2 linked regions of the Drosophila melanogaster genome follow. The protein of the gene in region 2 interacts with the protein of the main gene of each other region in a pairwise test. Each region holds a gene or a part of one and is shown on either strand. Other genes may lie near its edges.

Region 1 (3,757 bases), on a different chromosome or scaffold from region 2:
TTTCCTCTTTTCGAGCTAACCATATTTTTTCAGCATTTCCCCAACCCCTTTGGCGTTTTTCGTTTTGGGCCAAGTGGGCGAACTGTGTTGTTGCGGCTTGTTCATTGGCAGCAAACGTCGCATAATACTCGTAGTACATTGCGTGTCGTAACGCTAAACGTCAACCGAGTGAGAGGGGCATATGCGGTCGAGGGGGGGAGAGGGAAGGAGCCCAGTTTCTCGCTTTGGTAGCTGACGAATATTGGGTGGTGACCCCGACAAATTGGCGAATCTTTAGTAGATTATCGGGGATTGGAAACTGTTAACCAGAGAATTACGAAAGCGATGACAACGCGACAGATTCAAGGAAAATGAATGAAATGAAAATGAAAAAAACTGACGTTTTTTTTTACCAGTTATATTTTATATACTTTAACTTTGTATATAAAATTTGTGTCAACTATAATTTAACGAGGTTGAATTGTTTATTTTCTTAATTTTACTTCTTTTAAAATTCCCAAATCGTTCTTTCCACCATTTGTTTTTTGCTTATCTGAGCTAATTTATCGCGAAATCGTTAAGATATATATTTTTCCACGGAAGTTTTATCACACATTAAATATAAATGATTATCAAGTGCAGGCCGAATTCAATTGGCCACAGAACGTCAACAAAGCAGCGCGGAAAAAACGCTTAGTAATGCCTTTAAAAATATGGCAACACGTAAGAGCCGCCCCTGCAGTTTTCCCTCCGCTAGACTCAAGCAGTGCACTTTTTGTTTTCACAATCATTGCAGATAGCAAATGAAAAACTGTTTTCCCCGACAAAGAGCGAAAAACTAAGAGAGAGACTTGAATGTGCCAATCTTTGAAAACGCAACTTTGTCGAGCGTTCATTCACATTGAAAACAGAGGCATAGCATGTGGTTTGATGTCGTAACACACACAAAGAGAACCCGAAAGAGTGGCAAAGAGAGCGCAGAAATGGAATTACCTGTCGCTGTTGAACCGCGCCTCCTTGTTTTTCCCCAAAAAAGGGTAGGTTTTTCGCGGGGGGTGCGGCGTGTACTGTTGCTCAAGAATCACACACAGACACACACACTAACACACGAAATTCTCCCTCTTCTTCTTGCAATTTATTTAAAATTTTGTTGTTGTATTTAGTTGTATATATTTTTGTTTGCCAAAAATTTATAGCCACACGCGTGCGAAAAAATCGAATTGGGGAATCTATTCACTCGTGTTATGTGTTGTTTGATATTTATATATATTTTTTTTTTTGTTTTGTAAGAACTTGGAACGGCGCTTGTCCGTCGGCTTTACGTAACCCCGCCGCACACACGGGTTAACTTTTTTTCTTTCTTTCTCGTAAAGGGTGTGCGGCAATTTGGGGGGGGCTGCACTTGGACCCCCTTTTTATATTTTGTGACTAATTTATTTATTTCATTTATTCACACCGAGAAACACGCGAGCGAGCACCTTTATTTTATTTTATTTATTTCTTTGATTACGTTGGCGTTTGTTTTGTAATACGCTTACGTTACGCGACGAGACAGAAAGAGAGAGAGCGAACGCACTGGGCGAAAGAAATAGCGACAACAGCAGCAACGGCGGCAACGTGTTCGAGTGGCTCGGCGATGATTTGCTTATGGGGTGCGCTCCACTTTGTTGCTTTTTTATTTGCCTTTTTTATTATTCATACTTTTTTTTTGTATAATTTTTATTATTTTGCTTTTTGTATTTGTATTACGGCCTGGTTTTTTTTTTCAAACTCTCCCTGCTGTCTGAACTTGCCACGGCCGCTGTTCAACAGCGAATGACTGCTGTGAAAAGTCAGTCGTTGGCTTGGAGCGAAAAATTGGCGCTCTCTTTTGGGGTCGACTCTCTTACGCCTCCGTGGATGTGTCTGTTGCGTCATCGATGTCTGTGCCTTGAGCTCTCTTTGTTTAGCACTTCTCTCTCTGGCATTTTATTTTTTTTTTTAATTTTTGCCGGCAAACCGTCAACTGTCACAACAGGCGACGCCAAGAAAAATGATGGGGCAGCGGGGGCTGCGGTGGGTGATTTGCAAAACTATTGGGTTGGGGGATAGTGGGTGGTGTTGGGGGTGCTAGTTTGCCAGTGGGCGTCATTTATCGTATGATGCGCATTTCCGGCGCCACTCAACAGACTACAGCCATATAAACACCAAGCAAACATCAATAATCACAACAGATACGGTCGATTTTCTGTTACTTAAACTAAATTACATATATAAAATTTTGTAATTTTGTTTAATACGCAAATATAGTTTTTAGATTATGTAAAATAGAATAAAAGCTTACTCAAATAACTTATAAAATTAATAACGAAATTTGTATAACAAAATACACAATAGATTAAACTGTGAAAATATAAGTTGATTAATTCTCAGACATGTCATTACAAGATGTATTAATTTTATAATCCTTAAACAGGTTTTGAAGCTATAGATTTCCTATCCCGATAGAGCTCAGAGTTGTTAAAGTTCGTCTGTAATATCGAATATCTGCGTTTCGTAAGTGTTGTGTGGCTATTACATATTGTTTTGTCATTTAACGCAAATTACGTATACGACGCGTTGACCTCATTTGGGTTGATCAACAAATGCAGTTGTCGACAAACTTGGCTTATAACAACCGCGTATCGCTTCCCCTCCCCCTACTTCCCGTCTTTCTCTTTTGGCTCCGCTTGGCTTGTATTTCAAGCTCAAGTTCAACGTTGTCTGTTAGCGGTTGCCTGCATACTACCAGTTTTCATGCTGCTGCTGCTGCTGCTGCTGCTGCGTTTCCATTAACATTTTGAGTGGCCGTTGTTGTTAACTCATTTTTCGCTTTCGTAAGTCTTGGACAGTATAAAAATATGCGGGGCGGGCGAGTGGAGTCCGCTTATGTTTGAGCATTGCTCGCATTTATTGCAACATTTCCCCATAGGGAAGTAATCGAATTGCTTTGCCTCAGGTCTGGGTCTGGTTTAAGCCTGCATTCAAAAAAAAAACAAAGCTTGAAAGTTTACAGATTAAAACATATTAAAATTAACAAAATTTATTCTAATATATATTTTCAAATTTCTGAGTTGTAGAATCTCAATAATCTTTAATTGTTTAGCAATTAACGTTATTTTAGTAGTACCATATATTTTAATACCATGTACAATTATATAATTAAATTTTGACTGTGTACCGGTTATACAGCTCCCATTTCTCAAATAGTTGGCGCTGCTTTTGTTGTTCATCAACGGAAATTAGCTGCGAGTTTCATGTTTGAAATGTTTATTTTGTAAGCAATATATGAGGAAATTAGTTTCAGTTTTTTTTTTTTGCTTTATTATGTTTTTTGCATAATAGTGTATATCACCGATTTGGGCTTTGGTTCAGCTGAATTTGAAATAGGTGTGTGAAGCTGACAAACAAATTATTTATTTTTTTTCGTTGTTTTAGTGAATGTTAATTGAAGTCGGGCGAGTTTCGTTTGTTGCCAAGTGGAAGTGAGAATTTGTCTTATGATTGGAATCCATGGAAGTTTTTCCACAGATTAAATGTTGAATGGTATACATTGTTTTAGAATGCGCATTTTATCCGAACTTGAAGTTCGTCATTTCAGTTCTTGAGTTTCCGGCAGCTTTATTTAGCGACATGTCAACTGCACCCAACAGTTTTAACAGCTTATCTCATATCCAGTTACCATTTTCAGATCCTCTCTCCACTCACCAATTATGCAATCAACTTGACCTCCAGTTACTCAAAACTGTGTATTCCAGCT
Region 2 (3,757 bases):
GCTATAATTTAACAGTTATTGCCGTACTGAAACAACAAGTGACAGGTCGAGATAGGGTCTAAGCCCATTACAAAAGCTGCAGCGACAAGTCGGCTAACGACTGTGGCCCGAAAGAAATCCCGAACCTAAAGATAGAACCTCAGAAAGTCGTTCAATATACAAAAAAAAAGATCCTCCAATTTGACAAAAGAATGGCACAATAAAAATTATTTATGGATTCGTATTTTCTTGGTATCACTTTAATTTGTTTGTAATTACTTTAGCGCAGCCTTGCTCACATCACATCCATTGGCAAAATTAAAAACTCAAGGTATGAAAGAGTTCAACGCGTGCCTGAACTTTTTAATGATTTTGGTATAAAAATAACTTCGACCTTCGTTACAAATAAACTTGACTAACAGTTCATGGTTTTAAAGCTCGGAACCTTTGAGTCCGAGCCTTGATCTCTGATATCTGGAATTTAAAATGGTGGGCATTAAAATGTTTCAAAAATAAGCAAGACAAGTTTACAACTGTGATTTGGGTGCGAGCATTTGTTAACACGGCTTTTTACTTATTTTATTGGCTTTTAATGTCCAAAGCGGGCTTTCCTCGTTCATTTTCCATATTTACGAATCGAGAAAGTTACCCATCAGTGGCTCTTGTTTAATGACTATTTAATTTGCCAATTTTTGTTTGGGGACTAGGACAATAGCCATAAATAAGTCATTAACTGCTTTAAATAGCTTTATTAGCGGCAAATGATTCGACACTGATGCGTGATCTATGTAATGATGTTTCAATTGCAGGTATACAATTTCTGAATAGGTTGATTTAAAATGCAATTTAATCTTGGTTTACAGTGGATCAACAAAGCGCTTTTTTAGACTAAACCCCTATTAGCCTCTAAGTTATTTGTCAGGACATTTATTTAAATCCAAATTTTAAATCTAAGGGAACTAAGGAAAAAAACTGTAATGCCTTCTTAAACAGACCGAAAGTACTTAGAACCAACAAATGTATCTAGAAGATACAATAGCCTCATATCCAAACTGTGGAAGGGCATTCCATTGTTCTTTTTTTAAGACTGTCCCTAGGTAAGTGATCGTGCTATCTCCAGTATTAAATATCGTCCTTTTCAAGGATGCAGCCCAAATAGCCCGAAATCGGAAAGCCAGCAGCCCTTGAATATCGGTACTCACTTATCACATCGTGTCCATGGCAATCCAAATCCAGGTGATGGTTCATCACCAGCGATGGCTGTAATCCAGTTTGATTGTGGTTGTGATTGTGCAACGGTAGCTGGTGAGCCAAATGGCCACCAATCTCTGCCATTACCATATATTTGGCTGACAGGACACTCGGCGAAGCACACTCGAGATATTTGTGGGCTGGGAATCTTGAGAGCGGGCGCCTTTTCGTTTTGGGCCGTACTCAAGAAGTTTCCGGCATTGAGCAGGGATATTTGTGTAAGGCACTTGTACTGGTTTACTTATTCCGTGAAGTTTGCTTGAATTACTCAATATGAGACCGGGACACAGAGCACTGGGTTTTCGGCGAATTTAGCGGGATTATCACGGCTGTGTGATCCGTGTGCGCACACGCGTTTTGTTCGCAGGGATTTGGATCTATGGTGAGGGATTTAAGAGTCTCTCGCATCCGAAAAGGCAAATCCGACGGCTATCGAGCTAAGACGGTCGATGTTCGCGATACGACGGCTATATAGTAGCGATGACGACAACCGACCAACGACGATGTCTGGCGCACAAACATGCTCACTGCACGGAGACTGCTGAACGACTAAACCGGTCGGCGCTTCGTTCCGTTTGCCGTACGTTATCCGCACGCCAGGGAGCCAGCGAGCTAGCGAGCCAGCCAGCCACTCACCCCGAAATGTATCTCGCAGATACATTCTGCCTGCGAGAGCAGTGCGACTAGCTCGTCGCTCCGCAAGGGTAGGGAACTGGTGTGGCACTGGTGCAGCTGCAACCGGTTCCGAGCCAGTTCTGCGTGTACTTCTCGGATAGCCGATAGCGGATAGCCGACTCGATGGACTGACGGCCTGCAGGGGGGGGGGAGTTCGAAACAGGAACAGGTGTTTTTGTCGCACTCGCTCTGCGGGCAGCGCTCTCACGCTCCGTCCTTTTCTGGCAGCAAGCCCATCTCTTTCGCTTCCACTTGGTGGGCCTTTTCTAAATGGCGGCGAAGCGGGCCAATCGGTTGGACGGAGTGCGCATGACCGACTCCAGCTGTGGCTGCGGGATCCACAATCCACAAATGGAGGCAGTCAGGAGGTGGGCCCACATCCTCGCTCCCTTCGCTGGCCTTTTGTTTTGCCAATTTCGCTTTTGGTTTTCGAAGTTTGTACTACAAAATGGTTGCACTTGTAAGCAAGCGCACCCCCCTGGCCAACCCTACCCCACTCTTCATCCGTCGTCTGTCTTTCTACCCCCGAACTGTTGTAATGCGCTTGTCGAACTTTTCGGCTGTAGCCCCTCCGCTTTTGGGGCTCCCCTTTTCGCCCCTTTCCGCCCCCCTTGTCTCACCTGCCCGTCTTGACTTGGCTCTGCGGTCTGAAGGCGTCTCGTTTCGGGTGTGCTGCAACATCATAATAATTATTGATCTTTTGATTTCGTCTTCTGGTCTTTTGGGGAGCGCTCCAATCTCCACCCCCTCCCCCCCTGTTGCTCTGTTGCTCCTTCAAGGCCCTGTTGCAATTTTAATGACGCCCCCGTACGGCAATTTATATATGTGTTCGAGTGGGTGGCGGTCGGTGTCTGTGTTGCGGTTAGCAGTTCGTTGACTTGGCACCCAGTTGCCAACATTTGCTGGCCGATGATTTGTTGTAATGTCAGTTACCAGTTACCATCACCGACTCTTGGGGTGCACTCGAAGAAAAGCTTGTTTAAGCAATTTTGAAGAATGCTTATCTGTAGGCCAGGAAGAAGTTTAAGATGAGTTGTGGTGGTAAATTATTTTACTTAAATGTGCACATTTCTAAATTATATAGAATATGTGATAGAGATACAATCTAGTTTTATAATATTTTAAGTTTAACATCATAAACATATTGTGTTACTGTACAATTTAGTTAGATTTCCTTATTATTTTTTCGAGTGTCTGTAGCCTCTGACTACTTTTTTGCCATTTTTATTTGACGTAGGGTATTTTGAAGGAGTGGCCCTGCTGCGAACAGGGCTGCTTGTGGGTCTGGTAGAGTTTGAGCTGGTTTGGGGGGTGGTGGCGCTGCTGCTGTGTTGTATAATCAAGGTCATCGAGCTACAGTTTCAGTGGCCCGCTTGCTCCGTTTGGGGCACTCATTCATAGCCGTGTCTCAGTTAGCCAGACGCCGACATTAGTACATACTTGTTACAGCGAGCCACCCCCTTGCTACCATCCAACACCATCCTCTGCCACCCCCAACAGTACCCCAACCACCCCCGAATTGCGAGGCTTTCGCGCCATCTCCTTCGCACTCGAACGACAGCTGGCCAGCAGAAAACAGCTGACTGATGTCTGTGTGTTCGCCTGCGAGGGTGTGTGTGCCGGCGTATCTGTGTGCGGGGCAACTAGGCAGCTGGATGAGTGTGCGTTTGCTGGCAACATGAATTCAAAATTTAATTAGGTCCCGTCCATTAATTGGGTTAATTGAAATGCCGGTAAAAGTCAACGCTTACGAATTAGGACATGTCACTCAAGCCACTGCGCATCGATATGGTCGGAACAACGTTTAACTTGTTGGTTGAAATAGTTTTGTTTCGATTCGTTTAATTGAAAT

What was found. The genes of interacting proteins can lie anywhere in the genome.
Region 1: the proteins of tup (region 2) and CG32369 interact in a two-hybrid assay, tested with the Drosophila melanogaster proteins (one large-scale study listed by BioGRID).

The regions. Positions count from the first base shown.
Region 1 is NT_037436.4:7,808,025-7,811,781, forward strand, and holds the start of CG32369 (uncharacterized protein), read right to left. Parts: upstream 1,802-3,757; 5' UTR 973-1,801; intron 1-972.
Region 2 is NT_033779.5:18,879,476-18,883,232, forward strand, and holds the start of tup (tailup), read right to left. Parts: upstream 1,787-3,757; 5' UTR 1,321-1,786; coding exon 1,182-1,320; intron 1-1,181.